2 linked regions of the Lepisosteus oculatus genome follow. The protein of the gene in region 2 interacts with the protein of the main gene of each other region in a biochemical or structural test. Links are inferred from orthologs where the notes say so. Each region holds a gene or a part of one and is shown on either strand. Other genes may lie near its edges.

The links. The genes of interacting proteins can lie anywhere in the genome.
Region 1: the proteins of M-phase inducer phosphatase 1-B (region 2) and pin1 interact in a test that uses a peptide from one of them, tested with the Homo sapiens proteins (2 studies listed by BioGRID, with this or other methods). The link is inferred for Lepisosteus oculatus from reciprocal best matches to the Homo sapiens genes CDC25C and PIN1.

The regions. Positions count from the first base shown.
Region 1 is NC_090706.1:15,083,957-15,092,222, forward strand, and holds the start of pin1 (peptidyl-prolyl cis-trans isomerase NIMA-interacting 1), read right to left. Parts: upstream 3,621-8,266; 5' UTR 3,546-3,620; coding exon 3,488-3,545; intron 2,407-3,487; coding exon 2,209-2,406; intron 1,197-2,208; coding exon 1,086-1,196; intron 475-1,085; coding exon 365-474; 3' UTR 1-364. UniProt on the Homo sapiens protein: Peptidyl-prolyl cis/trans isomerase (PPIase) that binds to and isomerizes specific phosphorylated Ser/Thr-Pro (pSer/Thr-Pro) motifs.
Region 2 is NC_090706.1:29,487,791-29,496,177, forward strand, and holds the start of M-phase inducer phosphatase 1-B, read left to right. Parts: upstream 1-5,095; 5' UTR 5,096-5,321; coding exon 5,322-5,761; intron 5,762-5,837; coding exon 5,838-5,908; intron 5,909-6,001; coding exon 6,002-6,047; intron 6,048-6,519; coding exon 6,520-6,558; intron 6,559-7,061; coding exon 7,062-7,095; intron 7,096-7,829; coding exon 7,830-7,925; intron 7,926-8,387. Other genes in the region: slbp2 (stem-loop binding protein 2), read right to left, coding at 692-838, 953-1,036, 1,428-1,508, 2,304-2,435, 2,722-2,768. UniProt on the Homo sapiens protein: Functions as a dosage-dependent inducer in mitotic control. Tyrosine protein phosphatase required for progression of the cell cycle. When phosphorylated, highly effective in activating G2 cells into prophase.

The DNA of each region.
Region 1 (8,266 bases), about 14 Mb from region 2:
GCGGATGCTCCCATAATGCCACACTCCTCTGGGTTTGATCCGGTTGCAGGTTCTTGAGCCCACACACTGCGGGGAAGGGAAGGGGGGGGAGGGGTTGGCCATGCTGAGCGGCTCAGCAGTAAACAAACAGTGTGAAAATGATGTCAGAAGCAGCAGATATGGGAAGGGTTTTTTTTTCTTTGAGTGTGGGGGGGGGGAGGGAATCAGGGATAGGGAGTGTGTGCTCCTTCGTTGGTTTTTTTTATCCATTCTTATTTTACCCAGGTCAGGTGGGAGGGGGAGGGGAAGGGGGAGACGGGGGAGAGAGGTGGTGTCGGTTGTGGTTGTTATATTTGGTGGGGGGGAGAGGGGTGGGGGAGTGGTCTCATCCCGTACGCAGGATGATGTGGACCCCCGAGTCCGTGAACACCGGCCCGCTCATGTCGCCCACTTTCAGTGCGAAGGAGGCGTCCTCAAACGGCTTCTGCATCTGGCCTGCAATTGCAGGGGAGAGAAATTTTTTTTTAGAAAAAAAAAAGATATACGTCATTCCTAATTCTGGATCTCCATTTCTGGGGGTTCTTCGTTGATCTCATTAACAGCGCGGCACGCCAGTCGGCCAGCTGAAGAAAACGGAGGAAGGCCGATTACACGAGCTCAACACTTCCTGCCAAAATAAGGACCGGCATCACCTGCGCTCCACCGTACTCAAGTTACTGATCATCCCCACCTCCTTCTCGGGCCAAAAGCACACTTGAAAATGCGATTGTCATTACAAAGTAACATCTCTATATAGATGACTGAGCGGGGAGCTACGTCAGCTTGCTCTGGCTGCAAAGGGACAAGTAGAGCTTAACTCCGCCCTGAAAAACAGAAAGAGGAAAACGTTTTGGCTGTCAAGCCTGAAGAAGGAATTAGCCTTCACATACTCCTACACAGACTGACTGTGAGCACAACAGTCCTTACGGAGAAACACAAAGAAGTCCTTGGTCCTAAAAGACCAAAGAGGGATCACGATCCAGCGTCACAGTTTCACTTCTCACTGAACCGCTGCACCTCTGCCGTGAGGCGTGGAGTCGGAAGGACAGCGACAGACAGGGACTCACCTCGGCCGAACGTGCCCAGGTCTCCGCCATTGCGCGCCGAGCTGCAGTCGCTGAACTGGGACGCCAGGCTCTCAAACTCCTCCTCCCCGGACTTGATCTTCTCGATGTACTCTGGGAAAGGAAAAAGGGAGGGAGACAGTAAGACTACGAGGGGGCCTGAGGGCCTGGAGAAAGGAGAGGAAAAGCAGAGCGACCTCCTCACAAACGCTGACATCCTCAAAACGGTACATGACTATGGAGCAGCGGCGTTTTATTTGCAAGTAAAAACGTGATTTCAGGAGACATAAGTAAGAGCTGCAGAGTTAAGAACACTCAACTTACTAAATGCTCACTTGAACTCTTTGACTTAGATGTTGCCAAATACTGATATGCCTGTGCCTCCTCTTTTTTGTGCCCAGTGATTTGTCACAGTCTTGCACTCTATTCCTGGTAATTCTACTAGGATGGCTTCCTCCAGAAGATAAACATCAAAAAGAAGACCAACCAAATCTATTCCAGGGATTAAGGAAACGTCCGACACTGATGGGCTGAAGGAACTGTGGATGCTGCACATGGTGGTGGTGGACAGGAGTCCCCATTACCTGTAAAGCGCTTTGAGTGGAGTGTCCAGAAAAGCGCTATATAAGTGTAAGCAATTATTATTATTATTAACTGAACCTTTTGAGGTCTTCAGAGAAGACCAAAAAGGAACAATACAGACTTTCAAAATCTTCAAAGGCGTCAACAAAGTCAGCCCAGTGGTGCTCTTCACATTGAACAGCGAAACCCGAACCAGGGGAAGTGCACACAAAACCAAGAACAGGAGGCACTTCTTTACCCAAAGGGTGGTGGGAGTATGGAACAAGCTGCCCTGCCGTGCTGTTGAAGCCAATTCCTCTTGGCTTCTTGCAAGAAACTGCTGGCTGAGATCCATGGATTACTGGCTACTGACAATCAAGCTAGCTAGATGGGCTGAATGCTCTCCCTCTCCCCCACCCCCCGTTTGTAACTGTTCTTATGGCCATATTCTAACGCAGCGGGGCTCAGGACAGGAGTCAGTTTTGCTGTGTGCAGGACTCAAGAGCTGCGCATGCACATGCTAATAGGCGGAGAGGGCCCCGAGTCTCGGGCCTGGGCTGCTCACGGTGTATGAGTTCCAGGGCCTCCTCCTTCGTCCGGGTGACGGTCTCCTGTCGCCAAGACGACGGCCGGCGGGACTGGTTGTGCTTGACCAGCAGGTGGGAGCAGCGCACCTTCTCGGGCTCCCCCTTGCCATCCCCGGCCCCAGTGGGCCTCTCCCATTGGCTGGCGTTGGTGATGTGATTGAAGTAGTACACCCGACCTGCAGGGGGAGAGAGAGAACATCAGGAGTGAGCTAGAAGCCAGAAACCAATGAAAATAAGACCACTAAAAAAAAAAAAAAAGATATGAGGGCAGCCTAAAAAAAAGGAAGAAATACTTTTTATAAAGGGCATTCCAAGTATTGAACTCCCATACAGCTTTATAAAAATTAAAAGCTTCCAGAGTGCCCTAACACAACGACTGCGTGTAAGTGTATTGTACACATCAGTAACGAGCTCCCAGTCAAGAGGAGTCATAGGTAATGAACCGGACCTGGACCGGACCGAGTGATGTCCTCTTTCTCAAACTGTATTTTGATTACACTGAGTTTGTCTCCCCAATTCGGAAAGCAGGTGACTGGACTGTCTGGAAGCCAAGAGGCATTATCCCGCACGTCCATTGCGGTCCCATTGCTGCCGTGACGCAGAAGACGAATCCGTCAAAACAAACACAGAAACCGAAGGATGTGCTGCGCCCGACGGAAGGTCATTTCCGTCAACAAACCTTCGAATCGATCTTATGAGCCTGTTTATTACGGGAAAAAAACCGGACAGGAGACTGACTTGGCCTGGACGTTTGAAGGAGTGGGCGTTTTGGGCGATTTATAACCCCCGCCCCCCTCCTCCCCGTTTTCAAAACGTTTCCCTTTTCTTGTGTTTTCATTTTAAAAATGTGCTTAAAAGCAAAACCACAGACTCATATTTCCCCATCAATGACGGCTTGGCACAATTTTAAACCCTCTTTCGGCAAAGGCGCAAAAAAGAAGCTCTGCACCGTTGCTTTCTAAGCAACTCATTCGCAACGCATTCAAAACACGAAACTATCTCCTGCACCCCACAGTGCGTGTGAACAAACATTTTGCACGGCGGGGGAAATTAAAAAAAACATTATTTGCAGCCTTACTTAACAATTTTAATTGTGATCAGAGTCTGCTCTTCAGGATCCGAATGCTAGCGCATAACGGACTTTTTTTTATAAATAAAAAAGTTTACAATTTGGGAGCGCCCAGGGTTAAAAAAAACAACCAAAAAGATTTCCGCCCCTTTGTTATTATAATCTCGGTGAGCCTGGGTTTCATTTACCTGAACTGCGGCTCATTCGCTTCTCCCACCCCGCAGGTAAATTCTCGTCGTCTGCCATTTTCTCTGCGCACACCAGAGGCCAACTCCCCCTCTTCTCACACAAACTACTTTTATAACTGGCCGCCTCGAAAGTGACGGGCAGCTTTTCCTACCACCCTATTCGACAACACGGATAGTCGGGGGCAGTAAGGGCTGTCACTATTTGGTCTCCCAGGGAAAAAAAAGCCCGCGCCCGCAATGAATACAAACTACAAAAAAAACTACTGCATTGTGTTGTTCGCATTGCAAATAACTGGTGGTGCCGGTTCATATCTACTGGTGTATTGCCTTTAATATGCAATTTCTACGGCTTGCTTTTATACAATTAGTTAATTTATCTAAACACTATTAAAATTAATTTATAATAGTTGTATGTCGCGGTCTTTATCTGATTTTGGAAACAACAATATTGCCGAAAATGTAGTTATGGACATTAAGGTTTTTAAGAGAAAGACACTAAAGTGAAGCTGTGTCTGTGTGTCCGCCATGTTGGCTTCCAACTCGATACATTTTAGCATCTGATGGACGTTACACGACTGAGCCAAAATGGCGTTAGTTGCAATTTACCCGCAAAACGAGATGTTATTCACGTTAATCTAATACACTTTACGGCAGAAAACTAACATGCTCAAATCCCCGCCTTTCAGGATTAAAAGAACACAGGGATTGGCTAACATATACATCTGTCAGATTCCGAAAGTAGTCTATCATTGGTTAATGTCCTTTCCTTTTCCGTTTTAGAGCGGGTATCCTTCCTGCCAGTGTTGGTATGGTATTCTGTTATTTTTTTCGGTGGGCGAAGAGAAGTGTATTATTTAAAGTGGATTAGTTGAAACAAAAGGTAGATCTATTTTATCGCGATCTTTACAAAGTGCTGTCATTTTATAGTGTGTTCAGGACATTCCATAGCTAAGGAAAGTCTCATTTAAGATGTTCACAGCATTGTGCCGTAAAGTAAATAAACGTGCAGGTAAATTAATGTTGTCTCTAATTCAGATAGCGTCGAGGAGGGGGTGATTAGATCATGCATGACTGCAGCAGTTTCATTCTCATAGGGATCGGCATTGCGGCACAAGAAGAGTTGTGACGGCAAATAACATTCGTGTAGCTGTAGGAACTACAAGCGTGTCTGTGCCATGATCCCAGCTGCGACTGTAAGCGCTCTGCGTCTTTATTTCCAGGTTCCGGCCTCGCAATGATTGAAGTGGTGTGTAACGACCGTCTGGGCAAGAAGGTCAGGGTGAAGTGCAAGTATCCTTGATGGCAGTAATTGCGTTAAAACAAGTGTCTCAAAACTAAAAACAAACGCTGACTGCACTATTTGTGCCTCCAATGTGAAAGCTCGGTGTCCTAACGCCGTTCAGTAAAAGCTAGCTTCCTCACCTGGAATACAATAATATATGTGATCTATCTAAAGAAAGTTTTATTTTTAGTTACCGCTTCAGTCTTGATGTTGTTTTCCTCTTCGGTTAATGAAACCAGTCTGTTTTTCCTTCAACCAACTTTTCCTCTTCCAACTGTCATATTTGCTGGTCACTAGTTTTAGAGAAGTTGTTTCTAGAGGAGGTTTGACTAAAAAGCTTATTCAGACGAGGCTTTGTGTCCAGTTCTGAAGTTTCCACTTAACTCCTGCGCCCAGCCCTGACGACACGATCGGAGACTTGAAGAAGTTGATAGCTGCTCAGACTGGTACCAGGTGGGATAAAATCGTCTTGAAGAAATGGTGAGGATGCTTTGAATACCGAACTGCAAAAAGCTGTTTTAATGTGTACCTTTAGGGCATTTGTGTGTGTATCTCAAGGATAAAGTGGTCTAGATTGGTAAATTGACAAGTACTTATTTATCCTTTCTGCAGAAAAAACAGGTCATTCTGTCACAGGGGACTGCAGTATGGGATTTTGGAGAAACCTGTAAAGATAACAGAGTAGTGAACACCTTATGCCTTTGTTCCCTATCAATACACTTGGAATGTCCAAGACATGTAAAAGAATGTTAGCTTTCTTTCATTTAGTGTAAGAAGCATATTAAATGTTTTGAAGGATGTCTTTTTTTCACCCAGTAGCATTTTCAATGCTTTGTTTCACAACTGAAAACATTTTTAATCCTGTCTCTTAAATTCTGTCATTGCAGGTACACTATATTCAAGGACCATGTATCGTTAGGAGACTGTATCCTTTTTTTTAATCGTTTTGTTTGAATGTATAAAGTAAAGGTATATCAATCAGGTTTAAGATGAGCCTCCCTGTTCTGAATAATTCCTTGCACTTTTCTGGACACTCCACTTAATGTTTAAGTATTGGGGACTCCCCTCCACCACCACCACCACCAGTGTGCAGCCCCACCTGGATGATGTTACAGCAGCCATAGCGTGTCAGTACACTCGCCACACACCAGCTCTCGGGGGAGGAGAACAGAGTGATGAAGCCAGTTCAGGCATGGGGATTATTAGGAGGCCATGATTGGTAAAGGAGGAATTCTGGCCAGGACACCAGGGTAACACCCCTAAACGTTTCAAGAAACGCCCTGGGATTTTTAATGACCACCGAGTCAGTACCTCAGTTTTATGTCCCATCCGAAGGATGGTGTCTTCCTACATTACAGTGTCCCCGTCACTATACTGGGACATTAAGACCCTCACAGACTGCAGGGTGAGCGTCCCCTGCTGGCCTCTCTAATACCTATTCCAGCAGAAACCTTAGTTTCACATGCAGTTACTGATCATGCTCACCCCTGCTTAGCTTTAGTGGTTTGCCAGTTGTGAGTTGCAGGGTGATATGGCTGTTGGCATAATCCATTGGCCCAGTTTGCTGAACTAAATACATACAGCTAGCATTAGCATTTGGTGATGAATTTCTGCAGTAAAAGTGGCAAAACTATTATGTATCCCATTGAGATCAAATGCAAAGTAACTGTTATGGAATTGATTGGTTTAATCGAGTGATGGTTGTGCAGGCAGGGCAGGCTGGGTTCTTGCATTTTGAAAGGTCCGCTGAAAGCCTTGAGGTGCTTTTGCTTGCATAATGAATACAGGCTGTTTAGACTGGTGAGCAGGAGATCCTAGGAACCCAGGAACCTGTAAAATTTCAGCCCAACTTGCAGCACAAACTGCACGTGACCATGTCAGTTTTGTGAAGCTTGCACACATCTGTGATTTCAGACATCAGCATTGGCACCTTGTGTCTTAAATGAATTATCCAGAGCATCCCAATCAAGACTCCTTAGTGCCAGGCTCTGGGATGAGAAAATGTTCAGTAAGGTTATTTAACAACCTTTGGATTTGACAGGTTGATTAACAGTTTCTATTGCAGGTTGTGAATACTTACTGTACATTAAACTAATTTAGTTGCAAAACATGACTGGGGATTTGCAAAGACTTATCAGATTTTTCCTTTGATCTATTGTGCAGCCTGTGATTCAGCCTCCATTCTGTTATAGTAGTAGTGCTTTGGTTCTAAGCATGTAAGCAGCAGAGCCCCATCAAGGGCATAATGTGCTTTTTTCCTTAATTTTGCTTCTCTAAACAGATGAAATCCATGATGGAATGAACCTGGAGCTGTATTACCAGTAGACATACTGAGCCACAAATTGCTTTAGGGATGGTAAAATTCCTCAGTCCTTGCTGAACTCGCAGATGTAAACCCTTTCTGAACATGCAAGTTTGTATTGAAGCAGCAAAGATACATTTTTTTCCATTGTTAATGATTAGGAAGTAAATTGTCTCAACATCAGGCTTTTGTTCTGCTAAATATTTTGTTTTGATATTGTTTTAAAAATAAAATCTGGTATTTATATACAACATGGTCTTTATGGACTTGGTTTGTCTGTGCTGGGCAGTGTTATTTAGTGGTTTTGTTCCAGCTACGTTCTGAATATCTTAATTAGAAAGCATTAACATGGTTTTGAGATTTTAAGTCTACCTATAAAACCTGCAAAGGAGTACTGGGTAAGCTTCTGGACTTATAATTGACAGGCTGGGTTCAGGTCTCTATTGCAGACACTGCTAAAGTGAGGTACCTCACCTCAGCTGTATAAGTGGGGACCAGCATCACAATGTGGGTTACTTAGTCTATTCAATGCTACAGGAATTGCAAAAGTAAGGCTGAGCTCCGTCCCAATGAAACGCTGTGTTGGAGTATGGACTTTACCTACTATATTATAAAACCTGCAGAAGTACATCTTGCTAGAATCAGGGCTGTAGACTCTGGAACTATTCCATATCTCAGGGGTTCCCCACCTTTAGCTAACAAACTGCTTAACTGGAAACTGCACTTTTATTTTACTCAAAAGGTGGGTATCTTTGTTACAAAGCAGCCTCTCAACATGTTTAGGAATCAAAAACAAGTTCAGTTGTGGAAAGGAGCGTAGCTGGAACAAACATCAGAAAGCATGGGGGGTGAGGGGGTTCCCAGGAACAGGTTTGGGGACCCCATCCATTTCTCTATTCTCTAAGTGGTAAGCACATAGCCCACTGAAAGGAAAGTGAAGATGAACCCAAATGCATCTCTGGCCTGTTTTCCACACAGGCAGACTCCTGGGTTCGTCTGACACTCTTGTAAATACAGGCTGGCCTCATGGTTCACAGAAACTTTAGACATGGAAGCTGATTGAAACATCTGGCATTATATTTCTAGAAATATAGTGAAATATGTTTTCTGTGGTAAAGGAGTTGCAGGAACCTGTGCCAACTTTATCATCTTAAATATCAGAATTAAAAAATCTGCTCCTGTAATACAACCTGAT
Region 2 (8,387 bases):
GAGCAGGTAGTTCTGGGTGTGGGGGTGTCAGGGTGTGGGGGTGCTCTTACTTGGAGCAGGTAGTTCTGGGTGTGGGGGTGCTCTTACTTGGAGCAGGTAGTCCTGGGTGTGGGGGTGTCGGGGTGTGGGGGTGCTCTTACTTGGAGCGGGTAGTTCTGGGTGTGGGGGTGTCGGGGTGTGGGGGTGCTCTTACTTGGAGCGGGTAGTTCTGGGTGTGGGGGTGTCAGGGTGTGGGGGCGCTCTTACTTGGAGCAGGTAGTTCTGGGTGTGGGGGTGCTCTTACTTGGAGCAGGTAGTTCTGGGTGTGGGGGTGTCAGGGTGTGGGGGTGCTCTTACTTGGAGCAGGTAGTTCTGGGTGTGGGGGTGTCAGGGTGTGGGGGTGCTCTTACTTGGAGCAGGTAGTTCTGGGTGTGGGGGTGTCAGGGTGTGGGGGTGCTCTTACTTGGAGCAGGTAGTTCTGGGTGTGGGGGTGTCAGGGTGTGGGGGTGCTCTTACTTGGAGCAGGTAGTTCTGGGTGTGGGGGTGCTCTTACTTGGAGCAGGTAGTCCTGGGTGTGGGGGTGTCAGGGTGTGGGGGTGCTCTTACTTGGAGCGGGTAGTTCTGGGTGTGGGGGTGTCGGGGTGTGGGGGTGCTCTTACTTGGAGCAGGTAGTCCTGGGTGTGGGGGTGTCGGGGTGTGGGGGTGCTCTTACTTGGGGACCTCCCGCAGGTAGTTCTGGTAGCCGCTGGTGTTCTTGCCGTACTGGATCTGCTTCTGCCGGCGCTTCAGAACCGCCTCGTTGGTCTCACAGCGGGACGGGTCCAGGGCCCGGGAGCAGGGGGCGCCGTCGGGCTGGGGGCTGCGGAGAGGACGGGGAGGCCGAGGGGGGGGGCCCCCGCACGGTGTCAGGGCAGACGAGAGGGGAGCAGGAGAGCCAGCTGGACGTGCAGAGCGGACCCCTCCTCCTCCTCACCTCCCAGCCCGGTCCAGGTCCTCAGTCCCCACGGCGACGCTGGCAGTGGACAGCCTCAGGATACAGCGCTCCAGAATGGACGCTCTGCGGGGACGGAGACAGCAGGTTGTGACCCGGGCGGGACATCCCGCTGGGGGGCTCTGCTCAGCTCCTGGCCTGACACACACACACACACACACACACACACACCACACACACCAGGGCACCCCAACAGCTGCGCTGCTCTCAGACTGAGAAGACCCCACTGCTCAGGTGCTAACAGGTCACTTCAACTCCAGGGACTCCAGGGGGCGCTGTGTTCAGCTGGGAGCGCCCCCTCTCTGCAGGGCGCCTCGTTTCCCCCGCCTCGCACCCCGCACGAACCTACACATCCTCCGCCCCGATCGCACCCCCGACTGCCAACGCCACGCCTCAGGACAGGGGTAGCCCCAAGTCCAGACCGGCACGGGCGCCCCCTGCTGGCGAGACGGCATACCTGTGAGGTTTGTGGGGGACGCCCCCCTGGTCAGACTCTCCGGTCATCCTGCACTGGGGCTGCGCCGCCTCCGAGGAGCTGCTACAGGGAGCAACAGAGAATGAGGGACCTCAGTAGTGCCCCACGCCCCCCCTTTTCTCACACAGCAGGCAGAGGGCTAGGCAGAGCCACACAGACACTCGAGGACACCCCAAGCGCCTGTCCGCAGCTGCCTCGGAGAAAAACACTCCGAGCTGGGAGAGGCTGCTTGTGAGACCGGGAGAGATGTAGGGTTGACACATCGTGGTCACTGGGGTCATCTGCCGGACACTGAGGAAGCGAGGAAACAGGCCAGCAGAGAGAGGACGCAGGGTCAACAGCGCAGGATCTAAACCAAGTCGAACCCTGTCGAAACTGCGTCACACTCCAGCAAGACCTCAATGAGAGCTGAGGACGGTTCTGGTCACCAGGTTATTTCAGCGCCACACTCTCGAAGACAAGATGCTCCGGAGACGAGTAACGACTTCCTTTCACAGGCTCGGAGGCCTGTCCTGCAGCGACTGGGTCCAGCGACAGATTCCGTAGTCTTAAACAGAAGACCGCAGACCTGAATCAAGCACCCCCAAATCCTGAAAGACTCCGACAGTCAACCAGGGGGACTTCAGAACCAGAGAAGCAAACCAGAGAACACCAGTGGAAGCTACAGGGAAGAGCATGTAGCACTGAGAAGTGGAGGCACTTTACACAGAGGGTGGTGGGAGTGTGGAACAAGCTGATACCCTGGATTCTTACAAGCTTATTTAGCTTTTGGCCTCTAATAAGCTTTTGGAGTTAGATCTTCCTCCTGAGCCCGAGTCTGTGCAGAGAAGTGCCCAGGAGTGGGTCAGCGCCCCTCACCTCACCAGCCTGTTGTACACGGAGCTGCAGCCCGGGAGCAGCCAGGGCTCTGGCATGCAGGTCTGGGGCAGCGGGTCCCAACAGGCCAGGTCCAGGTCTAGGGCACCGGGCCAGGCCGGTACCGGCCACAGCCTGCAGGAGGAAGCGCAGGGGAGACAGTTAGACGGCAGTGCCTTGCCGACACAGGGACCGGCGGAACGGGCGGAGACAACGCCACCTCTCCCCCGGGCACTTCCGGGGGGAGGGCTCGCGGGCCGTGACGCAGACGGAGCGGGCGCGCGCTGTCCCGAGAACACGCCCCGGGACAGACCGCAGCTCGTCCGCGCGCCGGCCCGCCCGCCCGCGCCTCCAGAAACCGGATCGGGAATCAACTCGTCACTCGGCGCAAGAAACGCGTGCACACGCAAGCGCTCCAGACCTGTGGTCCGGCGGGCTTGGCGAAGCGGGGTGAAAGCTGCTGGTCATGCTGTTCGGGGCTATAGTAACAGCCAAACTGATCTGCCGCCGCCTGGGGGCTTAAATACCCGCCAGGTGACCGGGGGCGGGGCTCCGCGCGGGTGGACACAGGAAGCAGGGCTGGACTTCCGCTTTGGCGACACTCAGTCCAACCAATAAAAACTGAGAGTCTGAGCTCGAATTTGTGCGGGTTGTTTTATTAACAAGAGCCGCTAGGAAAATGAAGAGTTTCTTTAATAGTGTTTTATAATTAGCATATTTATACGAAGCAAGAGGAGATATGTCACTGAACTGTATCAGAAATTAAATAAGATGTAAGGAATGTTTCATTTAGCCGGGTGAGTTTAGTAAACGTGTTGACAAAGTCCGGTTTTTGGCTTTCACGGAAGCACAGTTGGTTTATATCGGGGTTTATAAGTATATCAACATATCTTCTATTAGTTAACCTTCTCCGGGGCAGTTTAAATCAAATTTAATCTGGCTTTGTGGTTAAGAGCTCGGCTCATAGAGCAGACTCACGCAAAAAAAAAATGCCGTCACTTTTCATCAGGCTCCAGCTGACGTTAGAGTTTTCGGAGAGAATTAAAGTTTTGAGATCGCCATTTACAGATTGCTGATCATTTTTATTTGAAAGATGTCTTATCTGCAGACAGAGTATACTCTACACTGACTACCTTAAGCCCATGCACTGTTTGTACTGCTCGTACATATAGCATGTCAATATTGAGCACTGGCCATGTAGCTTCTGTTCCCTGTAGCTATGTACTCTGATCAAAGCTTTTTTTTCCAGTGGGATTTCCTGATGTAGTAGGTGCTCTGGACTATCCTCATTACACCCCCCCCACAGGGCCAAACAAGGCTGCTTTTATTAGAAGAAAAACAATTCACAGTGTTGATGTACAAGTAAAAAAAATAAAATTCCAGACTCAGAAATATAAATATATTGATCACAAAAAGACAATCCTGTCAGTCAGTTCCATTGAAAGACATCTCTAAACGTGTGACTGCAGTGGGTGTTAGCTAGTCTTAGGAGCTCATCATGCAGTTTCCTGAGTATCAGGTGATCTGTGATGCATGATGTACATGACTCTCACATTTTCAGACGGTCCACGCTGTAGCTATAAATCTGAGCAAAGGTATTGAACACACACAACCATTGATCTTAAGTACAGTTTGTTGTGAAGCAATTTGTTTCATTAATCTACATTTCAGCACCACCTTACTGACCCAAATCGACCCTGATCCGGGTCCGAGAGACCAGGCCCACTTCAATGAGGCTGTTGCAAGGCCAGTAGCCCAGGCTGAGGTGCCCCTGGAGCTCCTGCAGTCAGAGCTCATGGTGTTGCTGGGGTGGGGGATCCCCAGACGGGGCGTGTGACATCACTGCTGCAGGTGCTGTGCTGCTCAACACTGCCCCCCAGGGGAGGGAGACAGTCCCTCCCCTACCCCCCCGTACCCCGATGGTCAACAGGGCGGCAGAGCTGGGAGACACATCACAGCTCAACAACATTCTAGTGAAAACAAAGGTTTTTAAGATATATTTTTTTCTCATTCCATTTAGGTTGTTTTTTCCCCACCCCCAATTATAATTGGGTCGCATTTTTATCTTAAGACTTTCTGCAACTTGGGGGGGAAACAGACTCAACTGTAAGCCCCCCCCCGAAGATGTTGGAAAAGACAGTGTCGCAGAAAAGGAATCCATTCTTTGTTGTGCTGATGACGGTTCCTCCTCGTCCAGTCCTACTCTGCACACACCTCCTCTCTTGGCTAAAATCACGCAACAGGTTCACTGCAGTTCACGCTGCAGTTTTCAGGACCGCTGTGGGTGATACCCTTGCATTTTGTCCTGACCTGCTGTTAAAAGTTTGAACCCACTTATCGAGTTAATTCAATAAAAATCACCCTTTGGTTGGAAACCACCCGTGGATCTGTCTCTGATTCATTGTTATTCCTACAGATAACAACGCGTGGGAGTCTGCAAAACACGAATTACATTTAGGCAGCATTTTTCTTGAAGGAGCTCTCTTTAAACTGACTCTTTATGTCGTTAAACGTACAGATATTCCGCGTGTTTTAACTACATAACACAAAAACCACGAACAAACATCACGGGCCGTATGATACTTCTCCAGCGTGGTTGAGCTTTCCGGCCAATAGCCTTCAGCGCCGTAGCTCTCCAGCCCCTCCTTCCTCGGGGCACGCTTTGATGGACAGCAGAATGGACCAGTAGACCTGCAGCGTCCGGAAACGCTGTCGTGAGCGTGCTTTGACTCACGTTTCGCGGACGTCGTGCTGCGGAGCGTGATCCGTGATTGGCGGATCGCAGCGCGTGAAATTTAAAATCCTGTGTTGGGGAGTTTGGGGGAATGTAATGGAGGGTTTTACAGGAAAGGAGGGATTGTTACGGAATCGCAAGCTTAAGATTAGTAGATAAGAAAATATAAATTTTCCATCAAGTATTAAGATGCATTTAAACATAATTTCGTTCATTTGTTAGCACGATGTCTGAAATGCACCGGGTTTTTTTTGCTATCAAGAGGAAAGGGGCAGCACTGAAGACCTATGTGTTGTAACTACAGCACCACTTTCTGCTCTGTATTAGCGTTCGCCTGGAGTTTTATTCCAACCGAGAGACGCAATCCGAGCGCAGGGCGCCGTGTGTCCTTATTCTTTCGCAGTCGGCGTGAGAGGGAGCGGGCGAGGGTCGCAGGCAGGCGCGAGACGCCCGGTTCCGGCTGCCGACGGTTCGAGAATCGCCTGCGCCGCGAGCAACGCAGCAGGAAAGCGGTCTCGGGGAAACACGCGCAGGAGAGGGACCCGAGCCCCGGCCGCAGCGCAGGGCGCCGCCGAGTCAGGATGAGCGAGGGCCTGTCCTTCCGCGCCGGCTGCCGGATGCTGCTCAGCCTGGCGAGAGAGGGGGAGGCCGGCTCCCCGGAGCGCCTGCTGTCCCCGGTATCCGAGCTCACGCACAGCCTCGGCAGCCTGAACGCCTTCCAGAGCGGGTGAGTGCAGGTCCGGCCTCCCCCGTCCCCCGTGCCCCGCGCCCCGGGCAATAACCTCCTCGCCCGTGTCTTTCAGAGACACCCCCCGGCGGTGTCTGGACCTGTCGGGCCTCAGCGACGGCGACGCCCCGATCCCGGCGCACAGCGGTCAGTCCGTCCTGTCCACCCGAGCCGAGCCGGCTGTCTCCCCGGCGCCTCCTGTCTCCGTCCTCATGTCTGTCTGCGTTTGTGTCTCCCCAGACCAGCTGCTTTCCCCCCGCGGTCCCCCAGACTCTCCGGCCCCGAGGTAACTCCTTCCAGTGTCTGCTGACCGCCGCCGAGTCTCTCTCTGGCCCCGCTGTCCACATCTGGCTCTCTCTCTCTGGCCCCGCTGTCCACATCTGGGTCTCTCTCTCTCTGGCCCCGCTGTCCACATCTGGGTCTCTCTCTCTCTGGCCCCGCTGTCCACATCTGGGTCTCTCTCTCTCTGGCCCCGCTGTCCACATCTGGGTCTCTCTCTCTCTGGCCCCGCTGTCCACATCTGGGTCTCTCTCTCTCTGGCCCCGCTGTCCACATCTGGGTCTCTCTCTCTCTGGCCCCGCTGTCCACATCTGGGTCTCTCTCTCTCTGGCCCCGCTGTCCACATCTGGGTCTCTCTCTCTCTGGCCCCGCTGTCCACATCTGGGTCTCTCTCTCTCTGGCCCCGCTGTCCACAGCCGGGTCTATCTGTACGTGATTGTAACTTTTTAATCCAGTTTTGCTTTCTTCTGTCTTCCCAGTTTCCCCCAGAAAGTGACCCCCGACTCGGAGAAAAACAAGTGAGTGTGTGGGGGCAGAGGGGAGGGGGCGGCAGTGGGGAGGAGGGGGTGAGATGGGATGGGCGGACATTACAGATCAAGTAAAAGCTGAAATGACAGGTTCGACAGAGAGAGCACTGATGGTCAGTAACATGCCGCATGGCCCACACTGGGCCCTAGACAGTATGGCTGATGTCCTTCTCCTGTTCCTTAAGTAGTGTCCGTGACTGTAGTAAACTGTGAAGCCGGGAGTGGATCAGGAGTCTCACTGACAGCCCTGCTGAGGCTCTGGAAGGCAGCGCCCGAGTCTCGCTCCGTCACGAGTATCCTTCTCAGCCCGGCCTCTGCCGGCGACTCTTCGCTCCGAACGGGGTCGTTAACGAGGCGTTCGGTTCCCTGCCGGGCCGTCGCTGTGGTTGCCCGGCTGGCCGCGTGCTTGGCCCGACGGGTCGGGTGGCCAAGCGGGTCTGTGGATGACCGGTCGTCTGCTCGGCCTCATGCCTGCTGTTCTCTCTCTCTTCCAGGAAGGGCCATATGAAGCGCTTGAAGTCCATGCTGGTAAGAGATCAGCCCCCTCTCTAGGCCAGGGGTTCGGGTTCCTGCAGTCGGCTCCCTGAGTCACCTTGTCCCCGAGATCTGGGTCCTGGGCTGTGCTATTTCACTAAGAATTATAATGCTTAATAATTCCATACACTTATATAGCGCTTTCCTGGATACTGCACTCAGAGTGCTCTACAGGTAAGGGGGATCCCCTGCACCACCACCAGTGTGCAGCCCCACCTGGATGATGCTCCAGTGTGCTCACCACACACCAGCTCTCAGTGGGGAGGAGAACAGAGTGATGAAGCCAGCTCAGAGATGGGGATTATCAGGAGGCCATCATGGGTAAAGGCCAGGGGGGAATTTGGCCAGGATGCCGGGGTAACACCCCTACTCTTTTTCAGAAACGACTTGGGGTTTTTAATGACCACAGAGAGTCAAGACCTTGGTTTTACCTCTCGTCTGAAGGACAGTGCATTTTTTGCAGTATGTCCCTGTCACTATACTGGGGTGTTAGGACCCACATAGTCCAGTGGGTGAGTGCCCCCTGCTGGCCCCTCTCACACCTTTCCAGCAGCAACCTTAGCTTTCCCAGGAGGTCTCCCCTCCACACCTGCTGGGCTTCAGCGGGCTGCTAGTGTGAGCTGCGGGGTGATAAGTCTGCTGGCTATCTAACTGTCATCTGCTAATCGTGCCACCTGGATGAACGTGTGTCACTCCTGTTCACTGCTCTCTGTGTTTCTGTTTCTCAGCCCAGGTTGCTGTGCAGCAGCCCTAAGGTCGGCTCAGGCGGTCTCAGCCCCGGCGCGCGGGGCCCCAGCAGTCCCTGTTTCAACAACAAGGAGAATGTGAGTGCGGCCTTGTGTTTCTCTGGTTGTCCAGGAGAGTGTTCTGAGGTTCTCAATCTTGGGGAAAATGCAAATTGAAGCGCAGACTACACAGCACAACTGCATTGTTTCATCAGACCTAGGTAACTTAAGACGAACGTAAACACAAAAGTATAATTTTCTCATTATAATTATAGAATTCTAATGTTAGGTGTAAAGAACTGGTCTTCTTCAGCGATTCTGAGCAGGGTTGCGAGACCAGATTTTGAGAACCAAAGGGTGCAGCTGCAGTACTGGTTAGGACCCAGTGTCTCTGGGAGAAGCCTGTGCCTTGCTGTAGTTCTCCATGTGGGCACCAGAGGGTAGTGTTGGCTGTGCTATAGGCCACAGTCTCATCCAGAGCCACAGGCCTCCCTGAGATGAGGTTTTGTGCAGGTTCTATCCCGAACACTGCAGGGCACACTGGTAAAGGGCATTGTTGAC